3 linked regions of the Diceros bicornis minor genome follow. The protein of the gene in region 2 interacts with the protein of the main gene of each other region in a biochemical or structural test. Links are inferred from orthologs where the notes say so. Each region holds a gene or a part of one and is shown on either strand. Other genes may lie near its edges. The genes, in order: LDLR, MYLIP and CNPY2.

Region 1 (7,665 bases), on a different chromosome or scaffold from region 2:
CCATGCCTTGCTGGCGGGGACGGGGATCAGGAACAGGGAGCACCGAGTGACAACACATCAGACGAGTGTGCCCACAGCAGGCAACACCGTCCTGAGCAAGCGGACAGAACTAGCCCTGTTTCAACACCACAGCCCCAGGAAACTGGACATTGTTATTTCCTCCCCATTGCAGAAGCAAGGTTTGGCTTTGCCATGTCAGTTTCATTTGAATTTCAGCAAAAGCAAACTGGAACAGGGCTCCCATATCTCCTCATCCTGAGGATGCCTAAAATTACCTAAGCAGTGCATGCCCCCCCCCAAAAAAACCCTCTAAACTGTAGCCCTTAGATCTCTCTTGCCACGGGTGACAGATCACGAACAAGGTTATCGAAACAGAAAAGGAGAATACACATTTCTGCTTTTTCGTCAGCACACAAATGAGGTGGTAAATGCTGTCGATGTTTTCTTTCCCATGCTACTGAAGATACTCGCTGTACAGGGAAATCGAATGGTAGGTGGAATGTTTCCTTGCAAAAAGAAACGGCTGGCGTTACCAGACTCAGCTGAAAATGATGAGAAATCAATTTACCAGCGCTTTTTTCCAAACTAGGTGACGTCAAGGTATTTTCCCCAGGAGTGGTCTCGAATGGTAGATTTTGCTGCCAGCTCCTTTGGGGAGGGGTAGCCTGTTTCTGTCACTGTTCACGGCTGTTACTTCCACAGTGTCTTAGCAACAAACGGTCACTTGCTTGACAGCCAGGCAAAGTGGGGATGCTATTAATGTACTTAATGTGTAATGTGAAGAACAACAAAGGCATCTAGAATTAGATCTTATCAGGGGAGGAACCCCACAGATCTGAGCAGAACTAACTAGAATAAGGCACGTAATGCTCCTTGAAGATTTGCAGTCTCAAAAAAGTTCTCCCTGTCTTTGGCCAATGTTGTCCTGGAACAAAGTACACTCTGTAATGACCAGTGAATCCCCTGGGGCATGTTGCCAAAGCAGACACAGCTCTTAGCAGCAGGCTCTCCTTTCTCTGAGTTTGGGTGTGCCCTTGGCACACTCGATACCCCACGCACAACATTAACTGCTTTTGATCTGGCTAAGTGAAGGCACACAGTTCAGCGCCCAGCTACTTCTATTGCCAAAGGAAACGGACATGAAATCCTTTTCCCGCAAATGCTTTGAAGACAGCTAAGGAGCAAGCCGGAGCAGCCAGGGCTGCGACAAATACACAACAGGGTTTTCACCCCAGTGGAGAGACGTAGATGCCAGCTCTCCGCGGTCTGGGGAGCACATCAGAACTGAAAGCCTCCTTGAGAACCGAAGATCCATCAGATCCTCAGCCACCCAGTGAGAGAGGAAACTAAAGTAAGCCACTCATCTTGCTCAAGACTTCGCTGCCATTATTGTCTCTTAGGGAAGGAGTCCAACAGTGTGAAATACAGGTTAACCCAGTGTCTCTTGAGCAAGCCTCTCTCCTCCGGCTTCACACACCTGGGTGGCCGAATTCTTACAATAATCTGCTCTGTGGGGCTGCCACCTCCCTTCCTCCCCTCCCAGCGGAAGCGGATGTGTCACAGGGTCGGATTCCGAATTCAAAGCCACCTCCCTGCCAATGAAAAAGGCTTCCTGCCATTCTGTTGAGCAGCCAATGCCCGGCTGGGCTGGCTCTGAGCAGGAAAAGGACCATTTATCTATTTTCCAGGGCGAGGTCACATGCCTCTGGCAGCTCACTTACAGCCACCGGATTACTCAGGATCGCGCACCAACTCGCCTCTTGCCCGAACCTCAATCTGAATCTCCCTAAAATGAAAAGTCCTCAGGACCCGCTGGGAGCCTCTGAACAAACAACGCAACCCTGAGGCGTCTGTCCGGTGTCGCTGTCGCCCCCCAGCTGACGGTCTCCGCCAAGTGCCCTTCGCGTCCGACCGAGGAGGGGCGAGTGTTTCCGAAGCAACATTCCGCCTCGGAAGGAACCGGGGCCCTGAGGGTGGCCTGGGGACACCTCCGTGAACTTGACCCGGGCGGGCAGGGCGAGGGCGGCCCCGAGGACTAAATGGCGACGAAGGCCTTGTGACAGATCCGGGAGGAAACCGGGGGCACCCGGGCGCTCGGCGGGCGCCTCATCCACGCTCGCGGAGGCGACACCAGGGGCCCGGGACGTGTCGCCCTGTTGTGGCAGGAGCCCGGGACGGACGCGAGGCATCGCCGTCGTCGCCTCACCGAGAACGAGGTGTGGAGCGAGCCCTGCGCCAGCCCCGCCCCACTCGTGCGCAAGCCCCGCCCACGCCGCGCGCGCCTCCGCAGTCGCCGCCTCCCATTGGCCAAGGGGAGTGGCTCGAGGCTCGCCTGTTCGAATCGCGCCCAATAGGAGCCAGGGGGCGGGGCCGCGGGCTGGGGGCGGGGCTGGGGCGGCGGCTTTGGGCAGAAGCGCGCATGAGGGGCGAGGGGAGGATGCGCGGCGACCGGCTCCGGGAGCCGGCGGCGCCCTTGAGCGGCACAAAGCCCGCTTGGCCGCAGCGGTGACCCCTGCCCGTGGACGCGCGCGGGGGAGCGCCCGCAGGGACCTCCAGGCTGAGCAGCCGGGCTTCGGGTCACCCTCGCCCCTAGAATGGCTCTAGAAGGGGGTCCCTCCTTCCCCAGAGCTGGAGATGCCGGTACCCCCGCTCTGAGGAAGACAAGGGAGAAACCCGGGGGGGAAGCCACACCCCGATTCCCCTGACTGCTCCAGATCCCCCCAAGCCCCGCGCCCCCCTCCGCGCTCCCCCACGCGGCTTCGCCCTTGGCGAAGGACTTCGTGCCATTTTCCCACAAGCCTCCCAAAGATGGAGTTATTTTTCGCTCTACCCCCCAAAAAAATTACCAAAGGGCTCCCCGAGTTCGGGAGGCTCATCCGCACCCCGCGCGGGCGCCTGGAGCCAGCCTTACCTGCAGCCCCCGCCGCGGCGAGCAGCAGGGCGATGGCCCAGCGCAGCCCCCAGCCCGCGAGTCTCATGGTCCCAGCCTCCGCCAGCAGCGCCCCGGCCCCGGCCCCTGTCAGCTGTGTCGGCCCTGGAAACCCGGGCTTCGCGCGGCCCGGCAGCGACTGCACGCGGGGCCCCAGTCATTTGCGGCATTTCAATGTGAGGTTTCTCGCGGGGGAGGAGTTTGCAGTGGGGTGATTTTCAAATATCTTCGCCTCACTGCCGGAGGAGGAGTTTGGAGAGGAGGAGTTTCGAACGGCTGATGTTACATGGGCTTCTTAACCCCTGAAACCCTGACTTGCATTCCAGCCCTTTCCAAAGCCTCTCCAGGGCAGGCCGCTTGATTTGTCATTGGTTTGGTAGCCCGGAAGAGCTGAGCCCCCCCCCAAATTGGAGATGAGCCTCCTGAAAGATGTCTCTTTAATTTGTCTTAACTTTTAATTGCCACATTTCCCTTTGGTACCCAAAGAAGATTGTTGATAACCATCTGTCCTTCCAAATGGTCTAATTGGTTAACGACATCTCCCCTCTGCCTCGAAAGGAAAAAGTACAAATCTTGGAAAATGTCTCCCTCTCCTTTCTCTACCAGCTTTTTCCTTTCTAGGAATTGCAGATAGATTTTAACTGAGTTTAGTTGTACATAGTTTTTAGGTGGTTCTTCCAAATCGCCATATAAACTAATCAACGAGGCATTTAAGAAAAATCTTCAAAAGTACAGCCAAAAACTGATTTTGTTTCTTGGGATCCAGGCTTGACATATGAGCCAAAATATTTTTAAAGTTAAGTGACCTGATACCTGGAGTCTGGACGTAAATATTGATGTATTCTTTTAGGAGAAGGAGTTGCATAAACAGAAGGGCAGCTTCCTCTCCCCAAAGTAAAATTCAAACAAAACGAGGGCTTTCAGAGTTGAACTTGACTGCCTGAGCCCCGGAGGGCTGATGGAGAGCAGCTTTCAAGAATCAGAGAGTCTAGTTTTTTTTTTTTTTTTTGCTGAGGAAGATTGGCCCTGAGCTAACATCTGTGCCCATCTTCCTCTATTTTATATGGGATGCCGCAACAGCATGGCTTGATGAGCACTGTGTAGGTCTGTTCCCGGGATCCAAACCTGCGAACCCCGGGCCGCCACAGTGGAGCGCACGAACTTAACCACTACGCCACCAAGCCAGCCCCTAGAGAGTCTGTTTTGGGATTCATGAGGTTGCCTGCCAGAGCCCCCTTGCCAAAAGAGCACATGTGGGGATCTTGTCTGAACCCCACAAAAAGTCTGGCAGACTTGGAGGGTTCCCCCAGGAATTTCTCTGGGGTCTTACAAACTGGGGAATTGGACAGACCTAGGGCAGTCAGTCAGCCTTCAGAGAAGATAAGCCTGCTTCCCTTACTTGGCAGGTTCAGTGTCAGGGTCAGAGGACATAGTTAGCAACCACCTGGAGAAATTTACAAGGATGGGCAAGTTCTCCGAGTTGTTACGACATTTACAAATGTGTCACCATCGCATTCCATTCCTTATACCGAACGCCACATTTTTTTTCTTTTTATGTCTGTAAGAGCACTGGGTTTGATTGCCCTTCAGAAAAATTACAAGACCTGGCAAGCTCGGTTTCTGTTGTGAGCTCAACTTTCTGTATCTGGTGGTGGGAGGCCTTTTCTCCCCAACGGGCCTGGAAAGGGTTAACGGGAAGAGGTTTTCTTCCAGGAAGGAACTTAGTTTAGCATGTTTCCAGAGCTAGTTCAACACTGATGTAAGGGCAGACCTGGAAAAGGGCCACAAAAGGCCTGGAAAGAACATTCCTCGGGTGCCAAGGCCTGAGCCCAAGCAAGGTCTCCAGGACAGCTCTCCCCATCTCCGCCTTGAACCTTCCTTTGGAAATCTCAAGGCCCCTTCTGTCCCTGCCACGAATGGACCTGGTCACGTGTTGCTCTGAGAATGGGGGTCACGCTGTGTAATTTCTCTAGTCTGCTTCTTGGAGCCTCCATTTCCTCTTCCGTAACTAGCTCACAGGGTTGTCGTGAGGATTAAGTAAATTAATATATATACAGTCATCCCTCGGCGATGTGGTGGGTTCCCTTCCAGACCACAGCAACAAAATGCATATCGCAATAAAGCGAGTCACACAAATTTTGTGGTTTCTTGGTGCATACAGAAGTTATGTTTACGCTATCCTGTAGTCTAAGTGTGCAATAGTATTATGTCTAAAGAAATAATGTACATACCTTAATTAAAAAATACTTTATTGCTAAAAAATGCTAAACATCACCAGAGCCTTCAGCGAGTAGTAATCTTTCTGCTGGTGGAGGGTCTTGTAAAAAACGCATTATCTGTGAAAAGCAATAAAATGAGGGCTGTCTGTATATAGTGATTAGAACCGTGCTTGGCACATAAGCACCAAATATGGAGTTTGCTTTTGTTTTTTTTTTTTTTGGCTGTGTTCGTGTTGCAACTGCATCTATTTTTTTTTTTTTTCTTCCCTCAAGGAAGACCTTCTGCCTCAGAGGCACTTAAAAATAATCCTTCCATGGAAGCCACTTCATTTGGAAGATCCTGGGCTGGCAAAGTCATCTGCGACAACCCAGGGTAAGCGTTTTCCTCATTCTAATAGACAGCCCACCTGTCGTGGGTTTTGGCTCATTAGTTCACCAGAAGGCTCAGACCAGAGTAGGTCTTCAGCCAAAGGAGTCCGGCCTTTTGGCAGAGGGGAGCCATGGCAGCTGCAGTCTGGCCTGTGGGCCAGCAGGCAGCAGAGAGAGTGAATAACTGCGTGAGCCATGGTGCCTTCCAGTAGGTTCCATTAGGGACCTGCCTTGACCCCGTCCCCATCAATCATCTCCATAAAACCCCCATAAGCCACGTGAGGGCAGAGTCCATGGCTTGTACCTCCCCTGCCTGCCTGCAGTAAAGGTAAAATGAGTAAATGAAAAGAAAGAAATTCTTGTTGGAGTGGCTGCAACAACAGCAGAGATGCACCCTTCCTGAGTTCTACTTGCATTGGGATTTTGATGATTAGGAACTCAAATTTTGTCCTGGGCTGCCAGTCCTTCCTTTCAGACAGAACACCAGACTCGAAAGCAAACCTGTACTGGGGACACAGAGAAAGCCTTGAGTCGGTGGTCGGGGGAGACTCAAAACTGACCAAGGTACGACCTTGTGCTCCAGGACTCCAGGAGAGAGAACAGGGCAGGATCTTCTATAAACAATGGGCCCATGCAGTGCCTGAGAATTCAGAGGCTGCATTTAGTGTGAGAAGTGGAAAGGTACTCGAGAAAAAGTATATTTTCGTTTAGTATGAAGAGTCGAAACATTCCCGTGGTTCAAAAGTAAAAAGCCTTGATGAGGAACAAGGCAAGGATGCCCACTTTCATCACTTCTATTCAATTGGAAGTTCTAGACAGTGTAATTAGGCAAGAAAAAGAAATAAAAGGCATCCAAGTTGGAAAGGAAGAAATAGAAAAGAAGTTTTATATGTAGAAAACCCTAAAGAGTCCACATACACACAAAAAACTGTTGGAACTAATAAGCGAATTCAGCAACATTGCAGGATATAAAATCAAGACACAAAAAACAGTTGCATTTCGTACACTAGCAAAGAACAATCCTGAAAAGAAGTTAAGAAAACAATTCCATTTACAATAGCAACAAAAAGAGTAAAATACTTAGAAATAAATTTAACCAAGAAGGTGAAAGGCTTGTACACTGAAAACTAAAAAATGTTGCTGAAAGAAATTAAAGACACAAATAAATAGGTTTTATTTCTGTTCATGGCTTAATATTGTTAAGATGTCAATACTACCCAAAGCAATCTACAGATTCAATGCAATCTCTATCAAAATCTCAATGATGTTTTTTATTGGCAGAAAAAGAAAAATCCACGCTACAATTCATATGGATTCTCACGAGACCCTGAATAACCAAAATAATCTTAAAAAGACCAAAGTTGGAGGTCTCATACTTCGTGATTTCAAAACTTACAACAGAGCTACGGTAATCAAAACATTGTGGTGTTGGCATAAAGAAAGACATATAAACCAAAGGAACAGAATAGAGAACCCAGAAATAAGCCCTCGCATATACGGTCAAATGATTTTTGCAGGGGTGCCCAGGCCATTCAATGGGGAATGCACAGTCATTACAACAAATGGTGGTGGGAGAACTGGTTATCCACATGCAAAAGAATGAAGTTGGATCCCTACCTCACACCATTTAGAAAAATTAACTCAAACTGGATCAAAGACTTGAAAGTAAGAGCTAAAACTATAAAACTCTTAGAGGAAAACATAGGGTTTTAAAGCTTCATGACATTGGATTTGGCAATGATTTCTTGCTTATGACACCAAAAGGATAGGCAATAAAAGAAAAAATAGATTTAGTTGGACTTCATCAAAATTGAAAACAATTGTGCATCAAATGACCCTATCAACAGAGTGAAAAGGTGACACATAGGATGGGACAAAATATTTGCACATCCTGTATCTGATAAGGGATTAATACCTAGAATATATAAAGAACCCCTACAACTCAACAACAAAAACAAACAGCTCAATTAAAAAATAGCAAAAGACTTCAATACACATTTCTCCAAAGAAGATATAAAAAATGGCCAATAAGGGCATGAAATGATGTTCAACATCACTAATCATTAGGGAAATGCAAATCAAAACGACGAGAGGCCACTTCGCACTCATTAGGATGGCCATTATAAAAATAAAAAAACCCAAAACAGA
Region 2 (7,211 bases):
AACATGCCAAGTTGGAAATGATTTCCCAGCTCTGAGCATCTCTCAACTAAATGATCGTGCCACAGAAGTAAGCGTATCAGAAAACGTGACATTTCAGGGCATTCTAGTAGTGAGAAGAAAAACAAACAGAGGAAAGGGTAGTATTTCAGAAAAGAAAAAAGACAGCTGAGAAACAGTAATAGCTGGAAATTTTTTTGTGGAGGTTGTTCTTTCTGTTTATAATTTTCCTAATATTCATAACACTGGGTTTAGATTTGGAACTCCCTACCCCAAGTGTCACTTGCTCTCTTGAAATGTCTCCAGAAGTTCATGTGCAGTATTTGATTATATCACAATCAAAATTTAGAGCACATCACATGCACAGTACAAAAGTAAAACATCAATACCAACTGGAAATGCCTGATAAAATTATAAGTACTTTATTTTTCCCTCGTACTTTTCAATCTTTTCCAAGTAGTCAACCATGAATATGAACTACTGTCACAACTAGAAAAAAATCATTTAAACTGCCTGCTAATTAAGATGATGCCATTTTATATGTTCCAGAATTTGTAATACAGGCGTTGGCTATTCTTTCCTCATTCCCTCTTTTACTCTTTAAACAGCCAGTTTTGGAAATGAGATGCTCTGCTTTGATGGTAGGCTAGGATCAAATTAAACTTCTCCTGAATTTCACAAGTCCAATATTTCAAACGAGAGATTTCAGCTCACTTGACACATTTTAACACACTTGGGTTCGATGAAGCATTGCTTATGTGAATAATTAGCTTGAACAATGTGTGAAAGCAAATGGATAGTTTGTGAGGCAGTCACTAATTGTTCTTCCCTCCACCCTCCTACAAATGAAGGTTGAGAGGGAAAGAGAAGATGGGCCTTTCCTTTAACGCAGCACAGGGTTTCTGCAGCAGTGTGTACAGTGTGGAGAAAGGAAGGAACAAGAATAGATATCCAGCCAGCCAGATCAGACCTAGTGCTCAACCACAAGAAAAATTTTGCAGCCAGACAACCATCCCATCACGTCCTATGAATATTATCTAGTGCTCAGTCATGAACCCTAGTATATGAGACAGAGAGAAAAACTTGGTGTTTGGGTGTGTTTGAACAGCCAGGACTCCACTGCCTTAGCGGACTCTGTCATTTAGTTATGGTTTCTATTTTAAAAATCTACCTTCATGCAGCTGATGTTTTTACTTTGCTGGTTAATTTTAATGCTAGCTTTCGAAGGTAATAGCTAATTGAGAGCAAAAGAAAAGAGACACAGATAAAATGCCGCACCTCTCTGGCTAATGCAGAACTGCTTCAGTCACAGCTCGATCTAATACAGTTACCACCCCCAGGCCAGGGTGTTCAGAGTCTCTTATTTTGGAGTTAGACCCAGCTGGGGCTTGAAACTGGCTCCAGACTTTTAGTAGCATTACCAGATGGTGGGATCCTCTAGAAAGGAATTCTACTGTGGGCTTTCTCTTCTCTAACTAGGTCTTTGGACATAATGTGCTTTCTTAGCCAGTCACCAGCTAACTGAGGCTTCTCACTCCTTAACTAACCAGTCTCTCGCTATCTCTACTCAAGGGAGAAATTAGGAAAGAAACAGAGAAAGAAAGAGAGAGGGAAAGAGAGAGATGATGGTCTCTTATTTCCTGTATATGTTAGTAGAAGACAGTATTCTTTTTCTTTTCAGTCATTAGGATTTCTCCCCCCTCCCCAAGCGCTGTTTTCCTGTTTTTAGCTTTGTTTTCTTTTGTTTTAGGAAATCCTTCTCCTCTTTAGTCTTATCGGGTGAATCTTAATTTCAAAAACAATTGGAATTACCAACCATCTCCTAGCAGGAGCATAATCTGGGTTATGTACAGGTTAGCCACTGGGACAGAGATAATTGGGACTCAGGAAAAGGGGTAAGGACAGAAGTCATTGGCAGGCAGTGACAGAGCCGACATTATAGATCTCCTTACAAACATAGGATCATAACTTGTGTATTTGGATTAGAAATATCCCCACCAAAACCAAAAACATAGGTTATTATTTTTTTTTTTGAGGAAGATTGGCCCTGAGCTAACGTCCATTGCCAGTCTTCCTCTTTTTCTTTTTTTCTCCTCAAAGCCCCAGTACATAGTTGTATATCCTAGTTGTTGGTCCTTCTAGTTGCTCTGCATGGGACGCTGCCTCAGCACGGCTTGATGAGCGGTGAGTAGGTCCACGCCCAGGATCTGAACCTGCAAACCCTGGGCCACTGAAGCAGAACGTGCGAACTTAACCGCTATGCCACCAGGCCAGCCCCAAAGTTATTTTTAAAGTAGTTTCTTCACAAAATGAGTATTTGGTTTTGGTTTTTGCTTGTTTTGTTTTTATTGGGTTTTTATTTTTGTTTTTTGGCCAACCAGTGTTTCTCCCTTTCTATTCATTTTCACGCCTAGTTCCCACTGATTCTGTGAGCTCCCAAAATTTGTGCACTCAATTCCCTTTTGCTTACCTTAGCCAACTTTTGTTTACCTGGCTTTGGGTTAGTCAGCCTAGTGGCTCATAAGCAAAAATATTAACCAAGACACCCAGCCTCCATCTTGGCCCTCACCTCTTCTCCCAGTTGTAAAATTTCTAGTGATTAAGCATAGATTAGATATCCATGATCCAAATGTTATCTCCTGGATAAGTTTCCTGGGTCAGCAAACTGGAATTAAGGGAATGAGGAACAAGAGCTGATCTAAGATGAGAATACTTCAGCAGCACAATATCGGTGTACTCATAAGACACAAAGAAAGATGTGAGAGTGCATATGTCTGTCTGCAACATTGCAGGTAAGGACTTAGACTATTTACAGTTTTACCCATAGTTGGCTTTAAAGACTATGGTAGGATCCTTCCCTGTAGCCTTCTGCTCTGATATCCTTCCTACTCCTTCAGAAATACAGGCCACTGGGACAGAGATAATTGGGACTCAGGAAGGGGGGTAAGGACAGAAGTCATCAGCAGGCAGTGACAGAGCTGACATTATAGATCTCCTGACATACAGAGGGTCGTTCGAATGCTTTTATGAACATTATCTCTGCTGCTCCTCACAGCAATGCTGTGGGGAAGGCAGAGCAGATACTGTGGTCTCCATTTTACTGTGGAGAACACGGAGCTTCAGAGAGAAGTTTTCTAAAGGTCCAAGGCTGAAACCCACATCTTCTCACTGCTGCTATAAAGAAACCAAAGAGGTAGGCTAAGTAATGTATTGGCAAAGAGGAACAAGTACTAAACGAGTGAAGAGTTGTAGATCTGTAATTATTAATAGCCACTACTGAGGTTACACCACCTGTTAGTTCCTGAGATGAGTCCCTTACCTTTAAGATGAGGATAACATCCGGGTGCCTGAGGGAAGGGACCCGCAGTACAGCAGGTGCTCAATTAATGTTTAACGAATGAATGAGATAAGACATGAGATAGGATGGCGACCTGAGAGGGCCTTAGTGCCCTATAAGGTGTTTTGATTCAGCACAACGGGTAAATAGAAGCCTCTAGAGAGAATTCATATAGAAGAACTAGATCCAGCTCCCTGGCTTACTGGTCAACTGCAAAAACTTTTATACTCAGATTTTGTTTTTTCAATGACGAGATCTAAAATGAGGAACAACCGCTCCGCCTCCCAACAACCCACCGTGGCAAACCCCAGGGGAAAATACTTTTCCTTAGACTTTGGTCCCTTTCCTTTTTGCTTTCACCTCCCGAAAGGCGCTTCTGGAGCGACCCAAGGCTTCTGAAGAACAGCGGCAGCTTGGAGGCGTTTAATCGTTGTAAATTCAAGCCCGACAGAAAGGCGTCCCCGCCTGGGAGCCGCAGGCGGTCGCTGGCTCCGCGCAGCGTCGCCCAGCGGGCAGAGGCAGCGGCTGCGTGCCGGCGCCTCCCTCCTCCCGCGGCACTCGGTGCCCGCAAGCTGCCACCTCCCCGGACGGCCCGGGGCACTCAGCCGGCGCTGGGAGGTCCGGCCGCGGCCGAGCGGGCGCTGCTATTGGCTGCCGGGGCGGCGGAGGCGGGACTAGGCGGCCGTGATTGGCGGGGGCCGCAGCCGAAGGGGGCGGGGCCGCTATATCCGAGGAGTCCTGTCGCGGCGCAGGCAGTCGGGTTGTCGGAGTGCGGCGCCGCCGCGGAGAGCTGGAGAGCCGGCGGGCGGACTGGCGAGGGGGTAGCGGGGAGGGCGCGGCGGCCGCGGGGCGCAGGGCCGGGGTCTGCAGGGCTGCAGCCTCCCGAGGGCCAGCCTCGCCGAGCCCGGGGCTGGGTCTGAGCGGTGGCGAGGCGGCAGCCCCGCGCACACCAAAGAGGAGGCGGCTGTGGTGGCAGCGGCGGCCCCAGCCATGCTGTGCTATGTGACGAGGCCGGACGCGGTGCTGATGGAGGTGGAGGTGGAGGCGAAAGCCAACGGCGAGGACTGCCTCAACCAGGTGAGGACGAGGAGCCAGGCGGGGGGGGCCCGGCCGCTTCCCGGAGGCCGAGGGGCCTCGCGGCGGTGCCGGGCGCCAAGGCGCGCCGCTTGCGAGGGGCCGGGTGGCGCTGCAGCGGCGACCCGGGGGTAGCGCGCCCCAGGCGCCCGGCCCGCGCCCCCTCCTCCCCGCGGGCGTGGGGCGCGCGGCCCCCATCCCGGCGCGGCGGGAGCGCGTGGCGGGAGTGGGAAGGATGCGCCCGGCGGGCCTGCCACCCTGCCCCCCAGCTCGGCACTTTCCCGGAAAAAGGCGACTCCGCACACCTGCCGCAGGTGTGTGCGTGATACCGCCTGTCGGGTCCCCGCGGGGCCTGGCAGCGCCACCTGCGTCCCGGGATGAGGTGGCTGGAGGCTGTCGCAGGTCCCTGGGATTGCTTGCCAGACACCCGGGCCCTTGTCTCTTGCTGCTGCTCAACTGGACCATTCACCTGCATCTCCCGATTTGCGGGTGACGAGAGGATCGAAGGTTTGGATGATCCTACACTTCGGTTGTCTTTAAGCACGCGTTTCCTTAAGAGTAAAGAACAGTTCCAAACAGTGCATATTGGTGTGGCAGGCAGCAAATTGGGTCTCAAGTGAAACGCTGTGCCCTCCAACGCCCTAGACCTGCAATGTTTGGAAAACCTCTTGTAAAGCTTAGCTGACACTTGTGGCATGTTTCCTCAATGTGTTTGTTTTTTTTGGAGTCCAGATGGTTAAAAATTGTCCAGATAATAAGCTGCCAAATCAGCTGTGCAGATTGTGCTGGTGGAGGGAATTCCGGTGATTGGAATAAGAGGGAAAATACCCTGTGATTCCCCTCCTCAGCCTTTCTGGAAGACTACTTTTGAGGAGTCCTTTTTCTCTACTGCTATCGGCATGTCCTGGGTATTAAAGGAAGCACAAGGCTTTATACTGCATCTCATGGTTTAGCATCCCTGGGGCCTTAGAACTTTGTTCTTCCAGCTTACAACAGGAATTGTAACACCGTTGAACTTTGTAAAAAGTAGGTAGGAATCAGACTCGGGTCTAGTCCTTGAGTTTGCTTTGACAACACGGACCATTTGCTCATGCATGCTGCATTCATTTGTGTTTTAGGTGTGCAGGCGTTTGGGAATTATAGAAGTTGATTATTTTGGACTGCAATTTACGGGGAGCAAAGGTGAAAGTTTATGGCTAAATCTGAGAAACCGGATCTCGCAGCAGATGGATGGGCTAGCCCCTTACCGCCTTAAACTTCGAGTCAAGTTCTTCGTGGAGCCTCATCTCATCTTACAGGAGCAGACTAGGTAAACTGACGTGAAAATAAACCAGTGTCAAATAGACCTTGGATTCCATTTAGAAAGGGCCATTGCACCTTCCAGAGATGTTCACAGGCAAATTTTTTTTGATAGAGAGTGAGCTGGTTCATAACTTAGAAGTTTTCCATGGCACAGCCCTTTTGTTGAGGTGAAAAGGGTGCTGCATAGTTGGCCTGGGGTACGTTTTCTAACCCTTCATGTGGTTTTTCTTGTCTTTATAAACAATAGGAGAGCAGAGTTGAATCCTTACAAATGCTTGAGATAGTGCCACAAGGCAAAAAAAAAAACAGACAGACCCAACTGACTTCCTGATTGCAGCGTCTAATGCCCGATAGTAACCTCTGCCTCAGCAGTGTTACTCTCGGTCATTGTGCACTGTTCTAACAGCAGGAAACTGTTCCTCTTGGGTTACTCAAACTTGGTCAACTGCTTCAGCCTAGTGTCAGATTACAGTATGTAGCGAAGAGTTCTGTCTGACTTAATGCAGAATTTTAAAAGTTTTTTAAGTTTCTTGAAAACTCGCTAAATTCTTTTTCAGGCCAGTGTAACTGAACGCCAACCCACAGATATGTTACACATGATTGTTGAGTTCAGATGATTGAAATTACCTCCTTACTTCTAGAAAACCACCAGTAGTGGTGGACAAACTGGAGTATGTGGTTTCCTTTTTTCAGACAGAAAATCTTTTCTCCCCTGGACTGGCTGTAATACTTTTCTCAAGGATGAGCCAAACTGGGAAACTGGTTTTTAATATTTATTGCTGAAATGCAAGAGACCTGAGTCTTACAGTGGCATGTCAAAGTAAAGGAAAACAACTACTTTTAAACACAGCAAACTTTGAATCTAAATTCTAATGTTTTTCATAATTGTTTGGCTTGGAAATTTGCCACGCACATGAAAAATGTGAGTGTGAAAATTTTGAGTAGTGATGAGTGAGCAGTATCCTTGGAGAGTTTTTAACATGTCATTTTTTGTTTGTTTGCCAAAGGACTGTTAGAAACATATTTTGAAATACTATTCATTTGAATTTGAAATCTCTGCCTAGTTATGGAGCTTTAAAGGGTGAGGGAAATGTTCGATTTTGTTTCTGAAGAAAGTTGGTGTGTTGAATTGAATTCTTAGTGCTCTGGAAAATGTCTTGCAGGATATTCAAGTGACTGCATGTTTAAAGATGTTTTAGCTGTCTATATTAATCAGAAAAGGCTGGGGGGTTTTTTGGTTTTTTTTACTTAAAGCTGATTTGTGAAAGTTTTCACTTTGCATTTCAGTGTGATAACTTGCAGTTGAGTAAGAGAAAAAATGTATATTACACAATATAGTGGAATCGTCACTGTGTAGTTTTATCATAATTTGCAGTCATTTCAGGGCTTCCAGATACAAATTTATTTTGATGACACAAATTTATTTTTTAAATCTGCAGAAGCATGGAGGACCAAATACATCATTTAAACAATGGCTGCAGTCATCATAGTATAATACATT
Region 3 (7,961 bases), on a different chromosome or scaffold from region 2:
GGCTAGATCTCCTCAGAACAAATTTCCGATTCTCCTGTCCTGATAGGAAGGAACTAGGGAGTCCAGAGGGCATGCTGATGTGTCCCTCCATTGAGGAGTTGAAGAATGTCTGGCTTCCTTTCTCCATTCGCATGAAGATGACCAAGAACAAAGGGCTGGATGTTTGCAATTGGACTGATGGGGATGAGATGCAGGTTGTTGAAAAACTGGGAAAAGGAAGGGGAATAAGGGAGAGAAGGTTGGGGCAGAAGCATGACAGGGGGAAGGTGGAGCTTAGTATAGGGAAAAGAAAAGGAATAAGGCCTAGTATTTACCAGTTGTGGGCTTTTCCAGAGTCATTCAGTTCAGTGTTGCGAGTCATAGATGGGTTAGGATGGAGATAACCCACCCTGGTCCCCCGTCCCCATGCCCCAAACTCCTTATCCTCTGTCCCCATTCCCCTTCCTTCCCCATCCTTAAACTTAGCTTAGCAGCCTGGGTACCCCCCTCACAGTGGGGCCCAGCCAGGGCAGAGGAGGAGCATGGTGTCTATGTGTATGACCTGATGGCTACTGTGGTACACATCCTGGACTCACGCACAGGGGGCAGCCTGGTGGCTCACATCAAAGTTGGAGAGACCTACCACCAGCGCAAGGAGGTGAGTGAGGTAATATAGGGCAGGGACTCTCCTGGTGGTGGCCATGATGGAGTCCCAGATCCGTCTTTATCTCGAGTCTGAGCCAGAGTGGTCCAGCCATCACTTTGGCATCAGTCTTTCTCTGTATCTCCACAGGGTGTTACCCACCAGCAGTGGTATCTCTTCAATGACTTTCTTATTGAACCTATTGATAAGGTTAGTTGTAACACATTCCATTCTCCTTTCATCTCCCCTTTTCCGAGCATCCTCATCCTCAGTCCCCTAGAGAATGCCAGGCAGATTCAGGAGGGAGGGATGGGTCCTCAAGAATAAAAAGCATTAGCGGAGCTAAAAATAGTGCCTGTCTTCTGTCTGACTTGGGGAAAAACGCAAAAGAGGGGCCGGCTCTGTGGCTTAGCGGTTAAGTGTGCATGCTCCGCTACTGGCGGCCCGGGTTCGGATCCCAGGCGCGCACTGACGCACTGCTTCTCCGGCCATGCTGAGGCCGGGACCCACATACAGCAACTAGAAGGATGTGCAACTATGACATACAACTATCTACTGGGGCTTTGGGGGGAAAAAAAAAAGGAGGAAGATTGGCAATAGATGTTAGCTCAGAGCCGGTCTTCCTCACACACACACAAAAAAAAAAGGCAGAAGAGACATATAGGTAGGCCATTAAGTGCTTTTTCTTTTATAGCATGAAGCTGTGCAGTTTGACATGAATTGGAAAGTGCCTGCTATCCTTTATTACATCAAAAGGAATCTTAATTCCAAATACAACCTGAACAGTAAGTGGTACAGAGTAGACCCAAGGGCATGGGCAGCTGAGACTGGTCTTCAGGAACAGATCTGGGAAATAGCTTGTTATGATTAGGATCAGTAACCAGTGTTAATATTTCCAGGGATACTAAAGAGATTCCTGCTCATCAGGCCTGAAATTTAGAAGCTGGAGATCCTGAGGGTGTAGTAGGGAAGAAGTGTTGGGGGGAAGTCTAATCATAGTGGCTAAGGGTATGAATTTTGAGTCTTGCCATTCTTATCCCCAAGTGAGGATCTCTTTTTCTTTTGGAGATGAGCTCCTTATTAAGTCCCTTTTTGGTGCCTTTAAACCATAGTTTCTGTGTAACTTTATTTTTCTGGATTTTCTAAGCTAAAGTCTGAAGTGAAAATCTTATTCTTTTCTCTCTGTTGACTCTTGTTTTTTCCTAGCATATTTCTTGATAATTTTCTGATTTGACCTGTTCCATCTACCTACTCTGTTCATTAGACATGATCTTTTTACTCACATGCTTTAATTATTGAAGAATCACAGTGTCGACCCAGTCTCTGGTCAGCCACCATGGGCTGCCCTCCTCTGGTCACTTCCATATCCCCAGCCATCTGTCTTCTGGATTCTCCCTTCCAGTCAAGAACCCTATTGAGGCAAGTGTCCTGCTAGCTGAAGCCTCACTAGCACGGAAGCAGCGGAAAACACATACTACTTTCATTCCGCTGATGGTGAATGAGATGCCACAGGTTGGAGACCTGGTGGGCCTGGACGCTGAGTTTGTCACCCTTAATGAGGTAACCAAGATCAAAGGGTAGGGTATTGGAACAGAACTCTGGGGATATTAGGAGTCATAAGCATTTCTCTGATTTCCTTATTAACTCTTCTCATGTAGGAGGAAGCAGAGTTGCGCAGTGATGGCACTAAGTCTACCATCAAACCAAGCCAGATGTCAGTAGCGAGGATTACCTGTGTTCGGGGCCAGGGACCCAATGAGGGTATCCCCTTCATTGATGACTACATCTCTACCCAGGAGCAGGTAGTAGGATATGGAGGTGCAAGTAAGACAGACCCTCTGCTTATGTAGAGTGCTCTAGAACCCAGGGAAGAGTGGTAGGGGGAGACTCTGCACCTTGCTTCCTGGACGACTTGTCCTTTTCTCTATCCCTAGGTGGTAGATTACTTGACTCAATACTCCGGGATAAAGCCAGGAGACCTCGATGCCAAGATTTCCTCTAAGCACCTCACAACTCTCAAGTCTACCTACTTAAAGCTTCGTTTTCTTATAGACATTGGAGTCAAGTTTGTGGGTCATGGTCTGCAGAAGGACTTCCGGGTCATCAACCTCATGGTTCGGGCGGGGCTCTTTTAAGAGTCTTCTTTGAGCATGGGCCTCTCAGGGTATACATTGTGCTTTTGGAAAAGGGGAAATTATGGATCCTCTACCTTCAGTTTCCCACTCTTTTATCCCTGCCAGGTGCCCAAGGACCAGGTCCTTGACACTGTCTATTTGTTTCACATGCCCCGAAAACGAATGATTTCCCTGCGATTCCTTGCTTGGTACTTTCTAGGTGAGTTGCTCTGTCTTGTAGGGCCTCGTGGTACTCATTAAAAGCAGGAAAAAGTGTTGGAGGGGCCAAGGGGAGTAGGGAGGACCCTGAGTTAGTGGTGAGATTACTGATGGATTTAATTAGTTTCAGTATCCCTTCTGTGCACTAGGGATGGTGTTTGGCTCTTTCCCTTAAGGGCAGTCAGGTTTTTTATTGTTGTTTATTGGGAGTTGAGAATGTTCTGACCTCCCTTTGCTAGGTCCCAAACTATTCTACCTCTACTTCCCCCAGACCTGAAGATTCAAGGGGAGACCCATGACAGTATTGAGGATGCCCGCACAGCCCTTCAGCTCTACCGAAAGTATCTGGAGCTAAGCAAAAATGGCACTGAACCTGAGTCCTTCCACAAAGTGCTCAAGGGTCTTTACGAGAAGGGCCGAAAGATGGACTGGAAGGTGCCTGAACCTGAGGGCCAGACAAGTCCCAAAAGTAAGGCCTGGGATGGGACAAGGGAAACCAGACTGGGTTTTGATTGCACATGTGAAGATTATACCCTCCAAAATAACAATGATGATGATGATGTTAACAGCGGTACCATCCCTACCTTATATATGTAGAGCATTTAACAGTTTACAAAGCATTTAATCCTCCCAACATTCAGTGAAATAGATTTTATTATTGAAACTCTCCATTGGTCCTAATTTCCTCTTGCCCAATTCTAAAACATTTGGGGTAGGTCTGTGTTCTCTTTTCGCTTGCATTTTTCCTTCATAAGAAGTATCCCAGGTGCTTTTTCTCCACTCATCTTAAGAGTCAATGCTCTTGGTTTTGTCTCTGACAGGTGCAGCTGTCTTCTCCTCAGTACTGGCGCTCTGACCTCACCCTCTCCCAACGAACTGCTGCCTCTCCTTTCAGTGTTCTGTGGCCCCAGAACTGGGACATGGCTTCCCAAGTTGGCTGCACCCTGTCCACTTCTAGAATTGGACCTACTTGGGGTCTACAGATGGTGCTATTAATAGAAGTGGAATGTGGCACAATTGTTGCATAGGGTCTAGGAGCCAGATTCCTTTTTTAATCTTTGCAAAATAATGGGCTAGAAACAGTCTAGAATTGACACAGATGGCAAGTAATTGGTATTCTTAATATCCTGGGTAATTAATATCCAAGCAGAGAAACTCCTGGAACCAAAACTGTCAGTTCCTAGTTGGCTAAGGACTGACGTTCTGGACAGTGACAGGATACAACAGGAGCTCAAGACTTAGCTCAAGTCTCTGACTGCTTGCAGGGTGCCTGGAGGGGCCAACATATACAATCTTGGTGGCTCTAGCAAACCAGTGTTGCCAACACCATCATTGCCAAAAGGGCCTTTGGGTCCTAGACAAAGCTTGGCTGCTGGCTTCACTCCTGCTGACAGCTGAGAAGCATCTGTCTTCCATCCACTCTCCTGTCCCAAGTTTTGTTTTTTAAAATTTTGTTTTAAACTGCATGTTTTATAAAATAAAAACAAAAATATTATTGGCTGTCATCTCTCATTTGAGACCTGCGAGTGTGGGGTTCTCTGACTTTGGCCCTCCTCTCCTCTCTTTCTATTGGCTCTCTATTGCAAATGGAAAAAAACAAGGCTTTCAAATTTCCACCTAGAAATGAAGGTAAAGCTCAGGAGTCCAAAGTTAAGGATATTGGAGTAGTATAATTATGTTCTTCCTGGATAATATTACGTATTTGCTGTGGCTGCCTAGAACCCTAAGGTGAGATTTTAAGATGTACAGTATGGTTTCCCCGTTACCTGTGTAAAAGGGGAGGTGGGGAAGCTGACAAACTACAGGTCCCAGGATATCTTAAGACCTGTAGCTATTAACCAAGGATCTGTGTGGTGCTGCGCTGCTTCCTGGGAGTTGTAGTTTCCTGGGTATTGAAACCAGGATTTCTCACTGGCGAGCAGCGCTCCTTTCTTTTTGAAGGTCCTAGCCCACCTAGACTGACGCGCGCTCGCCCGACCGCCTCCATACACCACACCGGGCTCTGTCCTTGCTTCAGGCCACTCCTGTTCTTTGGCTGACCCCTGGTGGTCACGTGGAGCTGCTCGCCACGCAAGTCTGGGTCCTTCTGCGATCCACCCGGGTCCTCGCCGCCTGGGAGCCGCTCCTGTAGCTGCCTGTTCGCGCGAGAGTTTGGAGGGGCGGGTTTGGGGTCGGTCTCTGGCGTGGGGCTCGCACCGCAGGGCATCGGAGCTCTGCTTGGGCGCCCGCGTAGGGTGCGAGGAGCTGGGTTAGGCGGTCGCCGGGGCACCCCGTGTCTGGACAGCGCCGGAGCGCTCTGGAGAAGCCGGGACAGCCCCGCTCCCGGCAGCCAGGTGCTAGGGTCGGGTGCTAAAAGTGCGAGTCCGGCCGTCTTCCAGCGCCTGGGCCACGGCGGCGGCCCTGGGAGCAGAGGTGGGACGGATGCGAGTGGCGCTGAGGGTCGGGGACGGACTGGAGCGAAGGCAGTGGCGGGGTCCTTAGAAAGGTGCTTGCTCCTCACGAGAAATAGCGTCTAGGCTGGAGGTGGGGATGCAGTGATCTTCCGTGCTGGGTCCAAACAGACCCTAGTGTTGAGTGCTGTCCTCGCCGGCCGGCCTCCTCGCTGCCTCCTGGCCTGAATCGGCTGCTCTCCTTGCCAGCAGCTCCTCTGTGCCTGTCGTCCTCGCTTAGTCGCCACCCCGTTCCGTGGCTGCCACATCGCCCTGTGAGTTTAGCAGCCGACGGTGAAGTACCAACATCTAGGGCCTCACCTGTCGACGTAGTGTCGGGCTAAGCCCCAAGTCCCCAACTCGTTCTCTTTCCCACCGCCCGGGGGAATCCGGGTCCTCAAGCGCCGGAACAGAGGAGCTCCTTTGTGTCCCGGCCATTTCCTGGAAAGTAGAGCCAGAGTCACACTGCGGCCTCTGTAGGCCTTGGGATGACGGATGGGTTGGGGGAGGCGGCGTGGGGAGGATGGAGCCAGCTCCCCACACCTATGCTTTATTTCAATCCAAACCCAGGTGGAGCAACCCCATTACGCTAAAGATGAAAGGCTGGGGTTGGCTGGCCCTGCTTCTGGGGGCCCTGCTGGGAACTGCTTGGGCTCGGAGGAGCCAGGATCTACACTGTGGAGGTAAAGGCACAGAGAGAAGTGGGAGTAAGGAGGATGGGGAAGACAGAACCTTGGGAGGGCATGAGATCCAAGGCCTAGTAGAAGGATGAATGGAAATTCCCTGGCTTTGTTTCCTGTCTCTCCCCACCCGCCCTTCTCTCCCCTTGCCCAGCTTGCAGGGCTCTGGTGGATGAACTCGAGTGGGAGATTGCCCAGGTGGATCCCAAGAAGACCATTCAGATGGGCTCTTTCCGAATCAATCCAGATGGCAGCCAGTCAGTGGTGGAGGTAACTGTTACTGTTCCCCCAAATAAAGTAGCCCACTCTGACATTGAATGAGAACTCAACTAATTAAGAAGGACCTTGGTTTAATAGAAATTAAGAAAATATTGACCCAGAGAGGTGTCTAAAAGATTGGGCTGTCTCATTGGGAAGAGGCTTATGGCTTATACCCTATGCACTTGCTCCATGGCTCCAAACCTTAATGCTTTATTTCTGCTGTAGAAGTTGTCAGCAGACAGAGAACCCTGATCAGCCCCCTTCTCCACATCCTTAATCCATGTGACTCAGCTTTTCACTATGACAGTAAGGTACACATATGAACATTCATTCAAAAAAGAAATAGATCAGCTTACCCTTGTATTTAGGAAATTTATTTTAGTTGCAAACATAACACAGGTACTCAGATGTTCCCCCACCCCCCAAGTGAGCAATATATAAAGAAACGTTAAGGTTATGATGCTTGTGAAATACTTTAACAGTTGCTATCCTCAAAGCCTACACTTCCTCTCTGATGCTCTCCTGTTGAGGGCAGGTATTAGTCTCATTGTAATACAAGGAAATAAAATCATTACCTTACATCCATAAAAATTAAGGGAATTCAAAGGAAAAGAACACAGTTGACTAGGGTTAATCAAAGAGGTCTTTGTTTACCTACAATTTGGAGGGAAAGACACCTCTTTTATTTCTTAGCTTGTATAATGAGGTAAAATAAGATCATATATTTGAAAGCACTTTGGAACTATACAAATAAACCATACTGTTTTTAATTAGGGAAGGCTTTTTAGAATAGGTCGGTAGAGCTAGATTTGGAAGGAAAAGTAAGGATATAAATTACTAATGTTCAGAGGTAGAAGAGTGTGACCCAAGGCTGAGGACATTTCTAGGTGCCTTATGCTCGCTCAGAGGCCCACCTCACAGAGCTGCTAGAGGAGGTATGTGACCGGATGAAGGAGTATGGGGAACAGATTGATCCTTCCACCCACCGCAAGAACTATGTACGTGTAATGGGCCGGAATGGAGAATCCAGCGAACTGGACCTACAGGGCATCCGAATTGATTCAGACATCAGCGGCACCCTCAAGTTTGCGGTGAGCTATGGGAGTGGGTGGCTGGTTCTTGGAAATTACGAGAATTATTGGAGAGCCCAAGGGGAAAGCTGGGTTAATGTCTTTGTCCTCCTCTGGAGGCAGAGGCAGGAGGCCTCTTCTTGCTGCCCTCTCACTCGTTTCTTCTTTGGTTGACAGTGTGAGAGCATTGTGGAGGAATACGAGGATGAACTCATTGAATTCTTTTCCCGAGAGGCTGACAATGTTAAAGACAAACTTTGTAGTAAGCGAACAGGTAAACTACTCCTGCCTTACCTCCTTTCCTCACAGCCCTGTGGAACCTGGCACATTCCCTAGTGTATCCCCCAACGACCGCCCAATCTTCTGATATTAGCTCACAAGTTGGCTTCCATTACCCATGGCTTATGGACTTGGGTTGTTCCTCCCCGTTCTCTTCCTGCCAGCTTTCAGAATTTCTGGCTCCCTCACCTGAGATACAGGTGAGAGGATAGTGGGAATGTTTTGTCATTTGAAAGCATATGCTCTGGAAAATGGTGGTTGGTGTGTGTGCCACTTTGGTTTTGGGT

Evidence for each region.
Region 1: of the proteins of MYLIP (region 2) and LDLR, one has a biochemical effect on the other in vitro, tested with the Homo sapiens proteins (4 studies listed by BioGRID, with this or other methods). The link is inferred for Diceros bicornis minor from reciprocal best matches to the Homo sapiens genes MYLIP and LDLR.
Region 3: the proteins of MYLIP (region 2) and CNPY2 form a complex in vitro, tested with the Homo sapiens proteins (2 studies listed by BioGRID). The link is inferred for Diceros bicornis minor from reciprocal best matches to the Homo sapiens genes MYLIP and CNPY2.

The regions. Positions count from the first base shown.
Region 1 is NC_080769.1:8,291,885-8,299,549, forward strand, and holds the start of LDLR (low-density lipoprotein receptor), read right to left. Parts: upstream 3,087-7,665; 5' UTR 2,979-3,086; coding exon 2,912-2,978; intron 1-2,911.
Region 2 is NC_080753.1:51,016,971-51,024,181, reverse strand, and holds the start of MYLIP (E3 ubiquitin-protein ligase MYLIP), read left to right. Parts: upstream 1-4,175; 5' UTR 4,176-4,324; coding exon 4,325-4,411; intron 4,412-5,526; coding exon 5,527-5,717; intron 5,718-7,211. UniProt on the Homo sapiens protein: E3 ubiquitin-protein ligase that mediates ubiquitination and subsequent proteasomal degradation of myosin regulatory light chain (MRLC), LDLR, VLDLR and LRP8. Activity depends on E2 enzymes of the UBE2D family.
Region 3 is NC_080756.1:12,477,859-12,485,819, forward strand, and holds the start of CNPY2 (protein canopy homolog 2), read left to right. Parts: upstream 1-4,891; 5' UTR 4,892-5,367; intron 5,368-5,594; exon of another isoform or gene 5,595-5,597; 5' UTR 5,598-5,659; exon of another isoform or gene 5,660-5,860; intron 5,861-5,954; 5' UTR 5,955-5,979; coding exon 5,980-6,067; intron 6,068-6,218; coding exon 6,219-6,334; intron 6,335-7,212; coding exon 7,213-7,416; intron 7,417-7,572; coding exon 7,573-7,669; intron 7,670-7,838; coding exon of another isoform or gene 7,839-7,867; exon of another isoform or gene 7,868-7,874; intron 7,875-7,961. Other genes in the region: PAN2-PAN3 deadenylation complex catalytic subunit PAN2, read left to right, coding at 47-194, 494-646, 773-832, 1,317-1,407, 2,025-2,182, 2,281-2,424, 2,557-2,736, 2,863-2,956 and 2 more. UniProt on the Homo sapiens protein: Positive regulator of neurite outgrowth by stabilizing myosin regulatory light chain (MRLC). It prevents MIR-mediated MRLC ubiquitination and its subsequent proteasomal degradation.